Linked DNA regions of Arabidopsis thaliana. The protein of the gene in region 2 interacts with the protein of the main gene of each other region in a pairwise test. Each region holds a gene or a part of one and is shown on either strand. Other genes may lie near its edges.

Region 1 (5,078 bases), on a different chromosome or scaffold from region 2:
AATAGGTTTGTTATCAAAAATATTTATTAACAAAATAATAATAATCTATGATTTAATAATTATAATTTAACATGCTTTAACTATATAAAGGGTGGTTTTGTGCAAACAAAACTCTCAAAGTTGCCAATATTTGTAATTTTACTCTCCACCTTAAAAAAGTACAGAATAGTTTTATAAAATCTAAAATAATAATTATTATACCCATTTCGCTATTGTCAAGTTTATAAAATTTTGAGAAATAATATATTTAATCGAAGTCCTCGAGACGAAAAGTTCAAATCTACTTTTAGAATTTTAAAAATCCAATGTATGTGATCCTGAAAACATTTACAATGTATATATGTATAAAGACTATACTACGTTTTATTTTGGACTTATATAATTATTCTGTATTTTTTAAAGTGGAAGGTAAAATTGTAAGAATTGACGACTAACCCTTATGTAAAGTATACAATATGTAATTTAATCATATGATTTCTATTTTTTGTATTAATAATTATGATATAAAAAATTATAATGAAAACCATTACATGACTAGAAAATATGTTACATCTATGATTTCTATGATTATTAGTATATAAATATAGGTTAACAAAGAATATTATTATATAAATCTAGATCCACAGATTTTGAAGATGCTATTTTGTTAGTCATATTTTAATGAAAATATTAGTAATATAGTTTCTTAATTATAACACCAAAATGACATAAGCTTCAATAGTTTATTACTTTTTCTTCTTTTTTCATTATAACTATGTTGTTTGAAATTTGTTTAAAAATAATTATGTTTAACTATTTTTATTGCTAATTTATGTTATTTTCGTATATGCTATTATGTAGTTAATAAAGTTATATTCATTTTATTAATTATATTTGTATAGTTAGATTCACTTTTGATTCAAATATCAATTATATTTTTTTCATGTATAAATCTTTTTATCTATATACCCAAGTTTCTAAAATTTTTTAACTATCATGAAATACTTACATCAACAATATGATACAATGGTATGCAATTATGCTACTTATTTGGTTTGAAAGTTATCTAATTTGATTCTAAGCAAATAATTTCTTGTTCCATGTATTCTCTCCTAATCTAGTATTCCAATCACATCATGATAGGCTCATGGCTAAATATTGGATTGACATAATTTGAATAACAAATATATAAACTACTCATTTGCTTTAAAAGTTTTCATATGAAAAAAAAAAATCATAAATTAAATAGTCTTTTGAGTCAACACTTTTAGGTTTCTCTCTTTGCATTTGCATATATTCATATTAGAGAAAGGATCGTATATTGAACTTTTTGGTATATCTAACATCTCAAAAGATCACTATTTAACAAAAGATACATGTCAATATTAATGTTACCAATTTATCATAAACATACAAAAAAACCATATCATGTAAACAAAAAAATATAATAAAAAGAAAAGACTAAGCTAAAATTACTAAACTAAAGAAGGTTAAGTAACAAACAGTTAAGTTGTAATACACGAAAATTTTTAGTCATTATCAAATAATGACTATTACAAAAATAATAAAAATAAGAAAACTAAAATGAGAGTAGTGTTTGATACATTAACATGATTTTTGTATTTTTTCTTGGCCAAATTTCATATATGATTTCTCAAATGCGAACTCAGTTGATTTTTTTTTTTTTACTCATAACTTACTTAATTTCTTATGAAAAAAAAAATATTTGACAAACAAGAAATAAAATATCAAAACTATAAGTTTTTGTTTGTTTTTTAGAAAAGAAGTGAAAGCTCCGTTTGACAACCGCCATTTAGAGAGAAGCGCGACATTTTACTTTTCGACTTTCGTGTTTCTCCAGTGGAATTCTTTTCAATATACACGCGCCGCTTATTATCCCTCACGCGCCACCGTCGTGTAAACCATAAAAAATCTCAAATCTAAACTCTTTCATTTTCAACTTTTCCTTTTCTTCTTCTTCTTCTTTATCTTTCTCACTTCTCCTTTCTCCATCGTTCTATCATTTTCTCCTTTCCTTCACCTCAAGATCTCAAAAACACAAAAAGAGAAATCAATCAAAACCTTAGGGTTTTCTACTAATTTATCTGTGTGATGTTAAGAGAATCATCATCATCTTCGTCGTCATGGGAGGAGTAACTTCATCAATCGCTGCAAAATTCGCTTTTTTCCCGCCATCACCACCGTCTTATGGATTTGTTTCCGACGTTGACCGATTATACATAACAGAAGTACCTCGCCGTGATGATGTAGATGTATTGAAGCTAAAGACTCGTCGTGGTAACGAGATTGTAGCTATTTATATTAAACATCCTAAAGCTAATGGTACGCTTTTGTATTCACATGGTAACGCTGCTGATTTGGGTCAAATGTTTGAGCTTTTTATCGAACTTAGTAATCGTCTCCGACTTAATCTCATGGGGTAAGTAACTTTTTTCTTCTTCTCTATCTCTGTTTTTGTATAAAGTTTCGATTTTTGAGGATTGTTGTGAATGATACTGTTAATTTAGGGGTTTCCATGAAAAAAGGAGGAAACTTTCCAAAATTGGTTCGTTATCTCGTTGATGTTTTTAAATTTGAATTGAAGATTTGGTTTTGGATTGGTTATTAATGGCTTATAGTCCTGAATATAGTGACAAAATCTATGTGAAAGTCAGAGACTTTAGCCAAAATTTTCTGGGTCTTGTTGACCCCTCAAGACATTTATTCATATAGTTTTTGAAATTTCTATATAAATAATTTGACTTTTGTGAAATGTTGTGATGCAAGCATTTCATTGCAACTGTTTTCAATCATACTTCTCCTCTGTGGTAGAAGAAGAATTTAGATTCTGAGAATGCGATTTCGCATATCTTCATGCGTACTTGCTTAGGCCTTGTACTCAATTTTAACGACTGTGAAGACTGTAAATTGGTAATTAGTAGCAAAAGTTTCTCCACTTAAGTTGTGTTATTGCGGTAGTTACGGTCTATAATCCAATGATGAGTAGGTTATAATAGTTCTATAATCTCTTCTTTGGTTTTCTTTTTCCAGGTATGATTACTCTGGTTATGGTCAGTCTACTGGAAAGGTTGTATTCTGAGCTTCTAACTTTATAAAAGTGTATCTGACCGTCTTGTTATGTGTTAGAGAGTCCAGGGATTGTTTTTGATGGATTTAAGTTTGTTACTTGAATCAGGCAAGTGAATGTAATACCTATGCTGATATAGATGCAGCATATACTTGCCTCAAGGAACATTATGGTGTAAAAGATGATCAACTGATATTATATGGTCAGTCTGTTGGTAGTGGACCAACGATTGATTTAGCTTCACGCACGCCTAATTTGCGAGGAGTGGTTTTGCACAGCCCTATTCTCTCTGGGATGAGAGTTTTGTATCCGGTTAAACGTACCTATTGGTTTGACATTTACAAGGTAATTTAGCAAACATTCAGCTATGTTTGTTCTGGTTTTCATGTGTTCATGCTTACACGCACAATTCTTTGTTTCAGAATATTGACAAGATCGGTGCAGTTACCTGTCCTGTCTTAGTAATCCATGTGAGTAAATGATTATTCCTCTTTCATTATTGTCTCTTTCACTTTGCCTTTGATCTTCTCATTATTGGTGGAATCTTGTTGTCATTTATTGCCTCCACAGATTCTTGTAATGAATTAAAACTTGTAGGTTAACTGGACCATTTGACAAGAAAATGTTTGGTGAAACTCAAGTTGTTGAAATTTATGAGATATTTATTGGGTAGCCAACTTGAGTATTTCTCCAATAAGAATCATTGTCTTGTGCCTTAAAAACAGATTAGTGACATTAGTCTAAATTTAAATCACTTAAGAAGGTTTTTAACTCTCTTGTTTGGTCTGGTAGGGGACTGCAGATGAAGTGGTTGATTGTTCTCATGGAAAACAACTTTGGGAACTTTCAAAAGAAAAGTATGAGCCTTTATGGGTATCTGGAGGAGGACACTGCAATCTAGAACTCTATCCAGAGTTCATAAAACATCTGAAGAAATACGTAATTTCTATTTCCAAGGGACCAAGAACTGGTTCGAACAAGACTGCAACGACGGATGCAGCCAAAAAACAGAGCAAGCCTGCAGAGAACGGGCGTGCTGATACGTTTCAACTTGGCTGTTGCCTTCCAGAAGTTTCTAGAAACAGTGTAGACAGTCAGCTGGAGAAATCTAAGAAGACTAGTAAACCCGAGAAGTCTCGTATGAGCATTGATAGGTTTAGAAGGAAAAAAGGTTCAGTCTGGTGACATATAAAGGTCCATCGACAAAACAGGTTATTTGTAACTCCTGTTTCTGTAATTCATATGTTTCTGCATAAAATTATGACGTGTGGTTTTGTTTTTTTCTTTCTCAGGTTTGTGTATGTATTTTCTAATAGAAACAGATCAAACTCAAAAGTCTTGATTTCATATTTGGTTGTAACTTTGTCATGGTACAAAACTTGTAATCACTGACAAGTTTGATTTTAGTTTGGACTTGCTTTTCTCGAAACTAAAAACGCATATACAGTAAAACCTCTATAAATTAATAATGTTGGGAGCGAGAAAATTTATTAATTTAAAGAGGTATTAATTTATCGATAAATTAATAATTATTAATTTATAGAGAGATTTTACAAATTTTGTATTTTTTTTTTTTACAAAACTTCGATAGAAAAGTAGTTTTTCTTTATAATTAATAATTTTTTCTAAAACTAATTACAAGGAAAAAACAATGATTAAGTTTAAAAAATAATACAAAATTTTTTCGACGTAATAAAAATATTAGAATTAAACTCTACAAATAATTAATAGAAATTGAAGAAAAAATAATATTAGAGTCATATTTCAATAAATATTTTACATATAATATTGATATATATATATATGTGTATATATTTGTAAATTTATATAATTATTAATTTATAATATTGATGGGACCATATATTTATATAAGATTTTCGAAAAAGTTATTATCTTATTAATTTATCGATTTATATCAATTTTTACATTGGTCATAACTCGGGACGGGAATAATTTATTAATTTATAGAGGTTATTAATTTATCGAGTATTAATTTATGGAGGTTATACTG
Region 2 (5,481 bases):
TCGAACTTGTATCACTCCACGTTTGCGTAAGGCTAGAGATGACTTCAACACCTTCTTGACCGCACAAAACGCTTGAATAAGGAAAACAAAAACAGAACACAGAGTTTTATTTATAATATGTATGTATGAAATGAGTGTAATGTATCTACGGATGATGTGTAAATATTATGGAGAGAAAGAGAGTGTTGAGTCTTTGAGAAATCAAAATCGATAAAGGGTTTATGATTCTAAAACAACTCAAAAAGTATAATTTTTAGTGTTTGCTTAGAAGCTCTATCTCCAATTTTTGAGGGTTTGTTTGGCTTTGTTGAATCTTTATGAAATAAATTTGACCAAGAGTAGATGATTATGAGAGTATTTTATAATCTATGTGCTTCACTTTTGCATCGAAGATCTGTTTTCAGACTTTAATCTACAATTTTTAGAGTGTACTCAATGAGGTATCAAAATCAATGAAATGATGGTTACTAGAGTAATTGCAAAAATTCATGTATGTTTCCAAGCTCTGTTTGTGACTTGCCTTTTCAGGTTTTAAGGTTTATTTTTAGGCTATTTTCCGTTAATTTTTTTGGTTGGTTTAGGAGATCAAAAACTTCATAAAACTGGACAAAGTGTTGGTAACATAACCTAAAAACTGTATAAAGAGAGCATAATACGATATTCAGACCCAAAACGCCAAATAACGCAAACTCGATAAGGAAAAGAGGGTTTAATGGGTTAGTGAATTCTTCAGCGTTTTCAAAACGGTTGATTTCAGTTTCTTGTATCGTAGATGACACGAACAACGTCAACAATCTGAGCTCTGCAAATCGGACATTTCCCTCCACTCCAATGTAGTTCGTTGGCACATTTTAGGCACATGCACATATGTCCACACCTGTACAAAACCGCCTCGACCTGTGTTTCGTCGCAGACGCAGCATTTTCGTTTCATTGGGTTTTCTTGGTGAGCCTTGTGTTGCAAGCTCGCGTTAGCATCTAAACACGTTTTGACAGAATCTCGTAGTACTGACATTTCTTGCTGAAGCTGTTGGATCTGTGATCTCATACCGCTTATCAGCTCCATTTCCTGAAAACGTTTATATGCGGCTCAATGAGTTTACCACTAGTGCGGTTGCGAGTTTCTATAGTATAACAAGAAATCGATAAACACTCACAGGTGACTGAGGATTCTGAACAACCAAGGCAGGAGTGGAAGTAACATCAGTGTCTTGAGAACTCCATGATCCTGCAGGAGACGATGCAGATATATGTGAAGACGACGATTGGCTCAAGTCATCTCTATCATCTTGCTCTTCACCTCCTCTTAATGGCTCTTCTTTGATTTCTTCATCAATTTCAAAATTTACTTCCTCCTCTTCTTCTTGTTGCAATTCCCATTTTTTGGAGTGCTTATCCGAGTGTGTCTGTACACGGGACATCATGAGATTATCGATCTTCTCTCGCAACCCGCTGTCGAGGAAATCTGTCACCGTTCTTCTGTATTAAGCAGGGAAATTCATTTTCTTAGTCAGTTATTAACCATTAAGAAACATGAGCTTGTCAATTTTGATGGTTACTTACCGCTCAAGGAGTCTGCATATGTCATCTTTCTCAGACCTAGTGTTCATTACTTCCAGGTACCGTGACTTCCTCAATTCCTCCCAGTAACTCCGAGGCCTAGCTATTTCACTAAGCCAGTCGTCGTTATATTCTCCATAATAAGACTGCTCATCTGCATACTCTTCTTGTTCTCCCCATCTATTCAAATAGGATGTTTCTTGTTGATCAAGGCACTGGTCCATCTCATTACTCTCATGAACTAGACCTTCTGTTTCTCGAGTTTCTTGCATATACTTTCCCACATTGTTCTCGTCTTGATTCTGTCTCAACCGCGATTCTCGAGATAAATATTCACTCGGGCTAGTATTTTCTTCTTCTTTCTTTTCAGACTTGCCATCGTTGCAAGTTTCTTCTACTTCTCTTGTTTCTTGCAGCTGAAGGCAATTCTTTTGTGAATCAACTGTTCCACTTACAGATTCTTCTTCCTTACATAACGTTGCTTCCTCTATCTTGCGGTTACGGGGTCTCAACCGCTCTGCGAAAAAAGCTTCGAGAGTAACACCACCATCCTTTAACCTCGTGCTTGTGGTAGTAGTTCCTTCTGTTTCTTCTACGGATTTGTTGTTCATCTCAGTGGATCGTTGATGATTCTTCCTCTTATCTGTTGCAGCCGCAGAGTTTACTACGTTCGCATGAAATTTCTCCCTGCGTTGCCAATCAAAGATTGAAAATCTGAAGAAAGTAAACCCTAAGAACTAAACTCAAAACATAAAACAGAGAATCTGAAAAAACCTTAAATGCAGAACAGCAGAGCCTGATTCAATTCGGTTTAATCCGGTTGTTTTTGCGTTAGACCGGTTTCTATCTTGAATCACAAGACAGCGATTGAGGTTCCTTAACCTTAGCATTGACTGGTTAAATAATGTAATTAGAAAAACCATTTAGTGGATTATGAATAAAGTCACAAATATGTTAGTTATTTTTATCAAAATAGTGAAAATATAATTTACCTGGAGACGACCACGTTGAGTAAACCTAGAAACTGCGTTGCGTTCAAAAAGCGAATCCAATTCACGGTGGCGATCACGTTCCATTTGCATAAGAAAATCGGTAAACGCTTGTCGTCCTCGTATCTTCGGAGAGAAACTAACCACCGGAAAATTACTTTTCTCCGATGACGACGAAGTGCAATAAGGCCTCGGCGTTCTGATAATCTCGAGTCCACCGCCACCGCCGCTGCCATTATCTCCAGCGGTTCGTTTCTTGTCTTCGTTGCTAAGCCTCCGAATTAGGTCAGCGACTCGTCCCCATTTACTTTCTCCGGAATCAGAAACCAAACCATGTGACCTAGATTCAATCTCCACCGTTCGATCAGCAATTTCAGAATCTCCATCGATTGATGAAGATTCTGAAAGACCGGAATCTTGAACACTAACTCCTGAATCGCTCCGACTACTACTACTCGCCGTAGATTGACTGCTACTCGGCGAGTTTCCACCGTTGGATCGGTTTAGCCTCGCCTCCCATATCTGAACCAAAGAAGAAGCCACAAGATTGTCGTTTCTCTTCGATTCTAACGGAGATTCAAGAACACGATTGTTCTTGTTATTGTGAGTTTCGATCCAAGAATCAACTAAATTCTCATCGGAGACATGAGATTTCAAAACCTCTTTCACCGGAGATTTCAGATTCTTTTGAAAAACGCCAGCGTTTTGGTTACGATCTCTTAAGATTAAACCGAATCTCTGAGGAGAAGACACCATTTTTTTACGATCTAAGAATCGAACAAACGAACATAAAATCAAATAATCATTAGAGTTTTTGAATCGATCGAAAGAAGTTAGAGGACAACTCTGTTTTCTCTGTCTCTCTACAAGAAGAAGAGAAAATGGATTTGTGTTAGTGAAGAGACAGATTTTTCTCTCTGTTTTTTTTTCCTGTTAAAGAAACAGAACAACAACAAACAAACGGTGGAGATACGATGATGATGAAGAAGCAAAACAGAACCAAACAGTATTTGTGCTTATCTATTTAGTAAGAGGACTTATAAATGTTAAGAGTCCTAAAATGGCTCTGTTTTGTCCCTTAAACTGGGGAACGTGTCTGTAAAACAAGGCAATAAAGAATGAGGTGTAAGAATACAGAGAAAGAAAAGCCTTATGTGGCCAAAAGTGATAAATTGTTATAGAAAAATAAAAAAGCTACTTATAATTTTGGACAAAATTGAATTTGAAAGATATTGTATAACACATGTCATTATACTGGTAAAAGCATTTAATTGTGTAATGCATGAAAAAATTAACATTGGATTGTTATACTAATTAAAGGGTGATTAAATTATTTAATAATTAAGGCTCCTAAATATGCTAGAGTCAAAAAGGAGCCGTTGAGGAATTTAGCCGTTGTCGAGTGGGAACCATGCACTTTCTGGATTTTATGCCACATCATAAATCAAATTGAAGAACTAAAGATAACAAACAATTTTAAATTGTATAACTGACAGGAACAAAAACTTTTAAGCAAAGTAAAAATAATTTAATTAGAGAAAATTAGATGTTCAACCCAAGTTTCATGTAGTGTGCGATTTTATTGTAGTGTGGTCAATAGGCCCAGGCATAGTGGTCAATGTCGTGCTTGGGTTAGTCGAATAGAGAGAGAACTTAGGACGAGTTGTGATTTGTGACTCTTATAAAACGATTTAAGAAAAAATAGTCTCTATACAAAATAACGATAATTGAAACCAATAATAAGGTTCACAACCGATCATTTTCGGATCCCGATGAGTTAACGATTAGTCAACGATAGAGTAAAACGACCGATTAATCGAGACTTAGTGTCTATGATATTGGCACATACGACATATATTTCGTATATATATTTCAGGTAACTGGGTATCGTTTATATTAGTTGCGGCATATGTGATAATGTATTCTTCCACACTTCGTATAGCTAGCTGACAATCTTTTTTCTTAAAGTTTAAGTATTAGGAAGTATTATCCGGTAGATAAAGAAGATGGACGATTGAAAAAGCGATTGATACGATTTTTCTTCTGTGATTTTTCCGACCGGCCGGCGTTGGTTCCGACTTCGATTGTACTCTTTTCTCCTTTATAATTCTAGCAAATATTAGTTTACATACATATATTTCAGTTATTAACAATGAGTTCTAGAGAATCAACTGCTTTTGGTTGGCCTCTTTTCACACTGTTGGCGATTTTCATGACCCAAAAATTGAGTTTTCTACAATTATTTGTAAGAAATATAAATTATAAAAACTAGAAAAATATATGAAAAAGTTTAAGGTTTTGACTAGTGAGAATTTGTTGTATAGTTCAAAAAAACTCAAAATTTGAACGTTTGAAAACTTGTTGAGATGCATCAATTTTCAATAAACGTAGCCTATGGTGAATTGTTTTTTTTTTTTTGTCAACATGTCTCTAATGGACCTATTTTTCCGTGCTAAAAAATGTGCAGAGGTAATATCGCTATTTTTGTTAGAGGATCTGAGCAAATTCATTATTAATGATTGTGCAAAAAATTTGTTAATTTCGATATATCACATTTTGCTTTACGGATTACTCGAAAACATACTTTGATGTCATCATCCAGTGTATATATACGTATGTTAATTGTAGACAACAAAATAAAATAATAATAGTCTCACATAACCGACCAAAAAACAAACAAAATTAAATCAATGGAAGTTGTTGACAAATAAATTTTACAATTAATCTAATCCAAATAAGTCAAAACCCTGATTTCAGTAATGTAAAGATCATTATATCATTTTTTCTCTTGTAAAAAGGTTTTTTAAAATTATACTATTAATATATATCATTTGATCAAAAAAAAATTATATATCATAAACATTATATACGACATGCAGGCAAGTCACTCGAATATTCAAATCTTAAAGTTGTGCCTCCCACGTAAAAGCATC
Region 3 (4,712 bases), on a different chromosome or scaffold from region 2:
TCTTTATGAAAAATCAATACCTCAACATGATCAACAACACTGAAGTTGTTAGATTCTTGAACTTTCTGGCGCTTTTTTGTATTTGCTCGGATTAGGAAATCTCCAGTATTCTGAGACAGTAACAAGGAGAATGAGATCTAGCTAAAAAAGAGACTGTATTTCTTGTTCAAGAAAGAAATATAGATGCATCTGCAATGCCAGGATATGTAGCCAGCATTGCATACAACTTTGATCAATCTTTAGGCACAAACTGATCAATACAAGGAGGATAGGGACATCAACAATTCAATTAGCAACGACCCTTAGACTCACAAGAATCATAGCATAGACATAAACAAAAGAATTTGAAACAAACATCGGAAGCTACCTCGTCGTCTGAATCACTGATAGAGGTTTCGGACAATCCCGGCGGTGTGGAAGTGACGACTTTGACAGCGGCAGAAGCAGATGACCAGAGAGAGACCTGCTGCTGCTGCTGTTGTTGTTGTTGTGGTGGCTTGGCCGAGGAAGGGGTCTTACCAGTCAAGCGGGCCTCAAGCTTGGCGATTTTGTCGGGTAAAGAGTGATCCGACTGATTAGAAGAATTCGAGGAGAAATGCAAAACCATGTCATCCGACATTGCCAAACACTTGCGGACACTTCACTCCCTAATTTCTACACAGATCAGAGTAAATTCGAGAAATTAGGGTTTTTTAACGGAGAATTACGGAATTGGAAGCTAGAATCTGGATGTCGAAGAGAAACCCATCAACAAATTTTCATGCTTTTATGCAAATCCACGTGGAGGAAAGTGAATAAAACGTACAGAGAAAGATAGACAGAGAAAGAGAAGGAGGAATAAGGTTTTTGTTTCGGTGAAAAAGAAAAATCGAGGAACCCTAAGGAATTAGGAGGGAAAGAGAGGTCAACACAAAGTTCTCTTTAGCACTCACTCTGATACATTTTTTGGTTTATCAGATTTTAGCCTAATTATATAATCTGAGGTTTGAGACAAGTTTGAGTTATGGGTGTGTTAATTTGGGAAATTTCCATTTTTTCTTTCTTTTTTTTTCTCCATTTGGTATCATGGATTAGGGTTGACTATAAGTAGGGTTTTCTTTGATCTAAGGCCAGACTCGTGGTTTAAACGCTAAAATCCGATTATGACTATATGAATTTGCGGAAGTAGGCGGTTGCCGTCTCAAGCGTTATTAAACAATTTGAACGATTAATTTAGCGGTTGAAAATTAATGCATTTGCGGAAATTTTGTTACTGAATATCTAACAAACTAAAATACTTAATATATTAAATAATAAAATAATATAATTTAGTAATTTATAGTAAAATAAGATATGCTAGACTATTAATTTTGACACTAAATATATTCTGATTTCTTTCTTTACTAGTTTCATTTATATTTAATAACATTTTTATATAATTTACTATTCACAGAATTTAATAAGAAATAAATCTTAATTTGAAAAAAAAAAAATTGATTTGATAAAATTTCAATTGATTAATTAATTAAGACAAATAAAATAATAAATGAGAATCTCAGTGTCAATTAATAGATAAAATTAAAATGTAACATGCGTTAAGAAAAAGAAAAAAGTAAAAATGTAATATTAAGGTTTAGGCAAAATGAAATATTTACAGAGACCTTTTACTATTGAATTAAAAAAAAAAGTTACAATTCGAGATGGACTATTTTTTTGGAGGAGCAAGGGTTAACTCTTATCTCAGATTAAAACAACCCCTGCGCCGCTTACTCTCTCTCAGATTCCTCCCGAAGCAACCTCGTTTACTCTCTACGCCAATTTCAGCGCTTAGACATCCCTTTGTGAGTTTTCTTCGATTCCTTTTCGAATTCTTCTGGTCGATCTCAGAGTAAATCGTGTTTTTGGAAGAATTGAGTATAAACAGATTGGTAAACCTAGCTGTTCCGTTTCTGATTTGAAGCCTTGTCGTACATTTTATTTGGGTATTTTTTTTATTGGGAATCGAAAAGTTGTTCTGAATCTCGTTATGGTTTTGTTGCGTTCCGAATTACCTCTCTGATTTAGAAACCCTAATTTCGGACTTGCCTATGCTCATCGTTGTTACAGATTATGTTGATTCTAATATGTATATGTTTGGTTTCTGAGGTCTTATTATCATTGTGTGTTTTCGTTTTGTATCTCAGTTGCAATCATGGCTGATGAAATCAATGAGATAAGGGAAGAGCAAGAAGTAAGTTTGTTTTTTTTCTCTGTTTCTTAATGATAGGGCTCAAGTTAGCCATATAGATTTTTTTTTTTGTTTTGTTTGATGAACTCATGATTGAATGGTTTTTATGTTTTGGTTCATCCTTTTACAGCAGCTCGCACCCTTTGATCCTTCCAAGAAGAAAAAGAAGAAGAAGGTTGTGATTCAGGAACCTGTCGAGGACTTAGCAGAGTCTTCACAGACTGAGAAATCTGATTCATTGCCTGGTATGTATGATGAAGAGTCAATGTGATGTGAAACATTTTTTTTGTTTCAATGGTCTTTTGTGTTACTTTGTCTAATTCCTTGTTTTTGCAGTTAATGATGGTCTTGAGAGTTCATTTACTGGAATGAAGAAAAAGAAGAAGAAGCCAGTGAGTATTGTTTTACGTTTTGTGCCTAGTATTTTTTTTATGTCATTAAACTTGTGTGTTTGATGATTCTGTGACTCACATTTGTTCTTGTTTGATATTTAGACTGAATCAAGCTTATTGAACAACGAAAGTGTTGATGCTGGGGAAGATTTGGATGGTACTTTTAATATCCTTTTTTTTTGTTTGCTAATATACCTTTTCTCTTGGCGGGGTTTTTATCCTGTTTGAATCTTACTGAGAATATATTGCAGAGATTGCTAATGACGAGCAAGAGGGGGAAGAAGGAATAGTTCTACAGCAACGTTACCCCTGGGAGGGAAGTGAGAGGGATTACATATATGACGAGGTGACTATATTTTCGATGATTTCTTTTGTTTTAATCCTTCATAAATATCTTGCTCCCTTGTTTTTTTGCTGACGGGAGTTATATATGCAGCTTCTTGGTAGAGTCTTTAACATTCTCCGTGAAAATAATCCGGAGCTTGCTGGAGATAGGCGTCGTACAGTTATGAGGCCTCCTCAAGTTCTTCGTGAGGGGACAAAGAAGACTGTCTTTGTCAACTTCATGGACCTTTGCAAGACGTATGAGCTAACTCTTTATCTTCCTCTTCAAACTTTTTCTGTGTAACCATAAGTAATATTACCATTTAATTTTGATGACTTTTCGATGACATGTCTTATCTGCATATAAAAAATCAGGATGCATCGTCAACCAGATCATGTTATGCAATACTTGCTTGCTGAGTTGGGTACTAGTGGTTCGCTTGATGGGCAGCAAAGGTTGGTTGTTAAGGGAAGGTTTGCACCTAAGAATTTTGAAGGAATTTTGCGGCGATATATCAGTAAGTAACTTTCTTCTTAGTCTCAAAATTTAAGTTGCCATAAAAGTATATCAGTTTGGAGTTGTTAACCTCTTGTTTTATTATTTCTCAGCTGACTACGTCATTTGCCTTGGTTGCAAGAGCCCAGACACCATTCTCTCCAAGGAGAACCGTCTCTTCTTTCTGAGATGTGAAAAGGTATAAGTTAATCTAATTAGTCCTGATCTTGATATGCATTCCTTTGTTTCTGTTTTACAGTTTTACTTTCTGCGCAACAAAGTAATAAAGTATTTTGTGTGTTTGAATTTGCTAATGTGATTAACGAGTGGGCTACATGGTTTTTGCAGTGTGGATCTCAACGATCTGTGGCTCCGATCAAAACAGGGTTTGTTGCTCGTGTTAGTCGCAGGAAGACTTGAGAAATTAGAAGGTGAAGTGACCTTGGTATGGAGTTTGGAGCTATTCTACTGCTTCTGTATGAGTTTATGAGTTGAAGAAATACTTGTCTTGTTTTTTTTATTTTGTTTTGGAATATGATTATGACTTGACTTTTAAAATGGGATAGGATCAAAACCTTTTACTCTGTCAGGTTCATGTGGTCACCTTGAAGGTTGATTTAGTAAATCCATGGACTTCTTTTTTGTGTTAAGATTATTCTTAGTTCAAAATTAATAGACTAATGATATTAACGTCCACAGGCATTGCGTTCAACATCTCAAATTAAAGCGTGGAAGGCTCAGAAAGTCCAATATACACTATGTTTATCTACAGTTACAATCATACTACAAAAAACAAATAATGTATACGGTTTGGTCTAATATAGCCGCATACGATTTAGTATTTACCAACAAAAAATTGGTCTCAAACCAAACCGAACAATTGGTAATTAACAATTGTTCTTTTGGTCTTGAACCGAACCAAACCGAACTGAACTATATTAACCGACCGACTTCGTCCTTTCCTCCTGATCAAGAAAACTCGTCTCCTACAAAAATCCCAGAAGACAAGAGATTGGTTCTTCTTTTGCATCATTCTTACAAAATCCCCAAAATCATTCGAAACCCCTGAGTATTCTCCTTAACTCTAAGAAATAAATTTCTGAATGGATGCATCGTCTTCACCGTCTCCTTCCGAGGAAAGCTTGAAGCTTGAGCTTGATGATCTTCAGAAACAGCTGAACAAAAAGCTGAGATTCGAAGCATCCGTTTGTTCTATTCATAATCTTCTCCGTGATCACTACTCTTCTTCCTCTCCTTCTCTCCGCAAACAGGTTGGTTTTTATTCTTAGATTTT
Region 4 (4,997 bases), on a different chromosome or scaffold from region 2:
TTTAAATGATACAGAGTTTTTTTGTTTGGAGAGGAATAGACTGATATGATAGTCCGTGAAAATATTTTCATCTTGTTTTCAATGTGGAGATATTTTAAAGTTTGAAACCAATCCAAGTTCTAAAACATCAAAAGCTTTTATTCTCTGTTTAAACCACTTGGTTGGTCTTGGTCTTCTTGAAATATACAAACCAGACCCAAACGATAATCAGTGAAGATGACTGCATCATTGGGTCTTTAAGTTTCCTATTGGGCCAAATCAGCCCAACTATATTATTGTTATTATTTCAGTCCATTAAAGATTTTCGGCCCGTTTTATCGTTGGGAATTCATCTATATTTCCCCAATTTGATGATACACAGAACAATTTCATGTGTATACGATAAGAGGCAAATTCAAAATTTGCAATCAATGTAAAGTGGAAATGAGAAGCATGGTGGCTCAAATCAACTTATCTTTCCTTGGAATACAAACTACAAATGATGACGGATTTGGCTTCCCTTTGAATTTACCTTTTACCTCTCTCTTTTTTTTTTTTTATAGGTAATGTTGTTATTGGACAAAAATGTTAAGAAAATAAAGGTGAATGATAAATTAGAAGAGTACCCATAACTATTTTGATTATTTAAGTTGCCAACCAAGCTAGACCACTTTCCAACTTTTATAGACAAAGTGTAAGAACTTAGCACATGCTTTCCAACAAGGAATATGAAACTTTATTTCAAAAAGATTATTGTTAAAGCTTTTAATCATTCTAAAAGGTGATTAATATTTGAATTATTGGAAGTAACTTGTTTTGGACATATACCAAATTAATCAATAGTATCAATGGACATATAACATGTTGTGAGACTATATCAATGTTATATTCCAAGCCAGTTAAACCAATTTATAATGATACCATTTATAGATAAACAATACACTTTACACACATTATTTTCTTAGAATTGGGTCTCATATAGAACACTCACAAAGGTGACTTATAAAAAATGCTTCAAAGATCCTAGTCTTTTAGTGTGCATTCCTCAAAATCGTAGTTGATATGTATCTTGCTCCTATTCGGGTTTTGGTCTAGAATTTTGGTTTCAGGAATTTTCAATTAACTCATTAAAACATTTATAACATAAAAAGATATATCACGAAAACCGATCAATCATTTAATATATTTTTATTTTATTTTATTTTTTGTCACAATAAAATCTAGACAATAGTGTTTAAACATTTATCAAAAAATTCACCTTACGATTAATTTGTTTTATATTTTGTGATGATGCAATTTAATCTATATAAATTATAAAACATATCGATAATCTGTGTTTTTCTTTTTCTACATATAAAATTCATAAAAATGAGAGTTTTGAAGCTCTTAAAATGGACTAGTCAACAATTGGCCAATCTTTGTTCTAAATTGCTAATAAACGACCATTTCCGTCAATTCTCCTTGGTTGCAACAGTCTACCCGTCAAATGTTTACTAATTTATAAGTGTGAAGTTTGAATTATGAAAGACGAAATCGTATTAAAAATTCACAAGAATAAACAACTCCATAGATTTTCAAAAAAACAGTCACGAGAAAAAAACCACAGTCCGTTTGTCTGCTCTTCTAGTTTTTATTATTTTTCTATTAATAGTTTTTTGTTATTTCGAGAATAAAATTTGAACGATGTCCGAACCACAAAAGCCGAGCCGATAAATCCTAAGCCGAGCCTAACTTTAGCCGTAACCATCAGTCACGGCTCCCGGGCTAATTCATTTGAACCGAATCATAATCAACGGTTTAGATCAAACTCAAAACAATCTAACGGCAACATAGACGCGTCGGTGAGCTAAAAAGAGTGTGAAAGCCAGGTCACCATAGCATTGTCTCTCCCAGATTTTTTATTTGGGAAATAATAGAAGAAATAGAAAAAAATAAAAGAGTGAGAAAAATCGTAGAGCTATATATTCGCACATGTACTCGTTTCGCTTTCCTTAGTGTTAGCTGCTGCCGCTGTTGTTTCTCCTCCATTTCTCTATCTTTCTCTCTCGCTGCTTCTCGAATCTTCTGTATCATCTTCTTCTTCTTCAAGGTGAGTCTCTAGATCCGTTCGCTTGATTTTGCTGCTCGTTAGTCGTTATTGTTGATTCTCTATGCCGATTTCGCTAGATCTGTTTAGCATGCGTTGTGGTTTTATGAGAAAATCTTTGTTTTGGGGGTTGCTTGTTATGTGATTCGATCCGTGCTTGTTGGATCGATCTGAGCTAATTCTTAAGGTTTATGTGTTAGATCTATGGAGTTTGAGGATTCTTCTCGCTTCTGTCGATCTCTCGCTGTTATTTTTGTTTTTTTCAGTGAAGTGAAGTTGTTTAGTTCGAAATGACTTCGTGTATGCTCGATTGATCTGGTTTTAATCTTCGATCTGTTAGGTGTTGATGTTTACAAGTGAATTCTAGTGTTTTCTCTTTGAGATCTGTGAAGTTTGAACCTAGTTTTCTCAATAATCAACATATGAAGCGATGTTTGAGTTTCAATAAACGCTGCTAATCTTCGAAACTAAGTTGTGATCTGATTCGTGTTTACTTCATGAGCTTATCCAATTCATTTCGGTTTCATTTTACTTTTTTTTTAGTGAAAAATGGCCGATGGTGAGGATATTCAGCCACTTGTCTGTGACAATGGAACTGGAATGGTGAAGGTGAGTTAGACTGTTTATTTAGATACTGTATGGTTCTAACCTTCTTTGTTGTACATGTGTAAGACTACTGATCATGATTTTTGTATATTAACAGGCTGGTTTTGCTGGTGATGATGCCCCGAGAGCAGTGTTCCCAAGTATTGTTGGTCGTCCTAGGCACACTGGTGTCATGGTTGGTATGGGTCAGAAAGATGCTTACGTTGGTGATGAAGCTCAGTCCAAGAGAGGTATCCTCACTCTGAAGTATCCAATCGAACATGGTATTGTAAGTAACTGGGATGACATGGAAAAGATATGGCATCACACTTTCTACAACGAGCTTCGTGTTGCCCCTGAGGAGCACCCAGTTCTACTCACAGAGGCACCTCTTAACCCTAAAGCTAACAGGGAGAAGATGACTCAGATCATGTTTGAGACATTCAATGTCCCTGCCATGTATGTTGCCATTCAGGCCGTTCTTTCTCTCTATGCCAGTGGTCGTACAACCGGTTAGTTCTTAACTCTAAACATCCAAGTCTGAGTTATATTATCTTCTTACTTGTATTTACTTAAAGTCGTTCTCTTTTTGTAACAGGTATTGTGCTCGATTCTGGTGATGGTGTGTCTCACACTGTGCCAATCTACGAGGGGTATGCTCTTCCTCATGCTATCCTTCGTCTTGATCTTGCGGGTCGGGATCTCACAGACTCACTCATGAAGATTCTCACTGAGAGAGGTTACATGTTCACCACTACCGCAGAACGGGAAATTGTCCGTGACATAAAGGAGAAACTTGCTTATGTCGCTCTTGACTACGAGCAAGAGCTAGAGACAGCCAAGAGCAGTTCTTCAGTGGAGAAGAACTACGAGCTACCTGATGGACAAGTCATAACCATCGGAGCTGAGAGATTCCGTTGTCCTGAGGTTCTGTTCCAGCCATCGCTCATCGGAATGGAAGCTCCTGGAATCCATGAAACAACTTACAACTCCATCATGAAATGTGATGTCGATATCAGGAAGGATCTCTATGGAAACATCGTTCTCAGTGGTGGTTCCACCATGTTCCCAGGAATTGCTGACCGTATGAGCAAAGAGATCACCGCTCTTGCACCTAGCAGCATGAAGATCAAGGTGGTTGCACCGCCAGAGAGAAAATACAGTGTCTGGATCGGAGGATCAATCCTTGCATCCCTCAGCACCTTCCAACAGGTAAAAATCCCAATTCCGCCTCTTTAAAACTTTCAGCTCCATTTATGAAACATGAGTGAAAATACTGAAATTTTGTTTTGTTTGTGTGTGTGAATCAGATGTGGATTTCAAAGAGTGAGTACGATGAGTCAGGTCCATCGATTGTTCACAGGAAATGCTTCTAAGTGTGTCTTGTCTTATCTGGTTCGTGGTGGTGAGTTTGTTACAAAAAAATCTATTTTCCCTAGTTGAGATGGGAATTGAACTATCTGTTGTTATGTGGATTTTATTTTCTTTTTTCTCTTTAGAACCTTATGGTTGTGTCAAGAAGTCTTGTGTACTTTAGTTTTATATCTCTGTTTTATCTCTTCTATTTTCTTTAGGATGCTTGTGATGATGCTGTTTTTTTTTGTCCCTAAGCAAAAAAATATCATATTATATTTGGTCCTTGGTTCATTTTTTTGGTTTTTTTTTGTCTTCACATATAAATATTGTTTGAATGTCTTCAATCTTTTATTTGTATGAGACAATTATTTAAGTATCGGGTGACAATGCAGCTATTATGTATTGTCGATTGTTATATTGGCGCCCAAAATATATACTTAGCCTAAGAATTTGGTAAGTGAGTGGCTTATGTTTTACTCCAGCAAAAATTGTGTGTGTATTACCATTCTGATGCGAAACAAGAAAAGAATTTGATCTAAGAAACCAAGTTTATTCACTAGTTAAAAAACAAATGACCTAATGTAATCGACTCCACATATCAAAATACGTAAAACAAACATTGTATGTTGACAAAAGGGAAAAGAAATGATTTATTTGGTTAAAAAGAAAGCTGGATTCAATTGCAACAGTTTAGTCGAAATCATTTTGAAAGCTTACAATGGATTGAATGTGAATATTCCATTAAGCCGCTTCTGTCTACACAGAATGTTACGCTTGGAGAGCAGCAATCATTTTCACGTTTTTATCTTTTTAGGTGGACATGTATATTATTGGTTACGCCTTTGGAGTTTTTCGAAATTTATTTCTTTCAAATCACAAGATGACTAAACATCACAATCTGTTTATCTTCCTAACTAGTTAAATTTTTGTCCCCACCATTGGAAAGATTTGAAATGGTCGGTCCAGCCAAATCACTCAAATACTTTATGAA

What was found.
Region 1: the proteins of AT1G30860 (region 2) and AT5G38220 interact in a two-hybrid assay, tested with the Arabidopsis thaliana proteins (one large-scale study listed by BioGRID).
Region 3: the proteins of AT1G30860 (region 2) and EIF2 BETA interact in a two-hybrid assay, tested with the Arabidopsis thaliana proteins (one large-scale study listed by BioGRID).
Region 4: the proteins of AT1G30860 (region 2) and ACT7 interact in a two-hybrid assay, tested with the Arabidopsis thaliana proteins (one large-scale study listed by BioGRID).

What each region holds. Positions count from the first base shown.
Region 1 is NC_003076.8:15,266,889-15,271,966, forward strand, and holds AT5G38220 (alpha/beta-Hydrolases superfamily protein), read left to right. Parts: upstream 1-1,785; 5' UTR 1,786-2,123; coding exon 2,124-2,419; intron 2,420-3,030; coding exon 3,031-3,067; intron 3,068-3,175; coding exon 3,176-3,412; intron 3,413-3,489; coding exon 3,490-3,537; intron 3,538-3,859; coding exon 3,860-4,252; 3' UTR 4,253-4,568; downstream 4,569-5,078.
Region 2 is NC_003070.9:10,985,943-10,991,423, forward strand, and holds AT1G30860 (RING/U-box superfamily protein), read right to left. Parts: upstream 3,652-5,481; 5' UTR 3,305-3,651; coding exon 2,552-3,304; intron 2,453-2,551; coding exon 2,334-2,452; intron 2,247-2,333; coding exon 1,563-2,246; intron 1,479-1,562; coding exon 1,157-1,478; intron 1,069-1,156; coding exon 754-1,068; 3' UTR 554-753; downstream 1-553. Other genes in the region: RSH4 (root hair specific 4), read left to right, coding at 1-76.
Region 3 is NC_003076.8:7,094,120-7,098,831, reverse strand, and holds EIF2 BETA (eukaryotic translation initiation factor 2 beta subunit), read left to right. Parts: upstream 1-1,686; 5' UTR 1,687-1,820; exon of another isoform or gene 1,821-1,961; intron 1,962-2,162; 5' UTR 2,163-2,170; coding exon 2,171-2,209; intron 2,210-2,336; coding exon 2,337-2,451; intron 2,452-2,542; coding exon 2,543-2,598; intron 2,599-2,700; coding exon 2,701-2,755; intron 2,756-2,849; coding exon 2,850-2,944; intron 2,945-3,034; coding exon 3,035-3,180; intron 3,181-3,297; coding exon 3,298-3,440; intron 3,441-3,531; coding exon 3,532-3,617; intron 3,618-3,766; coding exon 3,767-3,838; 3' UTR 3,839-4,183; downstream 4,184-4,712. Other genes in the region: TSL (Protein kinase superfamily protein), read right to left, coding at 21-110, 368-619; AIP2 (RING/U-box superfamily protein), read left to right, coding at 4,522-4,689. UniProt on the Arabidopsis thaliana protein: Component of the eIF2 complex that functions in the early steps of protein synthesis by forming a ternary complex with GTP and initiator tRNA.
Region 4 is NC_003076.8:3,050,195-3,055,191, forward strand, and holds ACT7 (actin 7), read left to right. Parts: upstream 1-1,867; 5' UTR 1,868-2,068; intron 2,069-2,608; 5' UTR 2,609-2,614; coding exon 2,615-2,674; intron 2,675-2,768; coding exon 2,769-3,162; intron 3,163-3,248; coding exon 3,249-3,862; intron 3,863-3,960; coding exon 3,961-4,026; 3' UTR 4,027-4,497; downstream 4,498-4,997. UniProt on the Arabidopsis thaliana protein: Actins are highly conserved proteins that are involved in various types of cell motility and are ubiquitously expressed in all eukaryotic cells.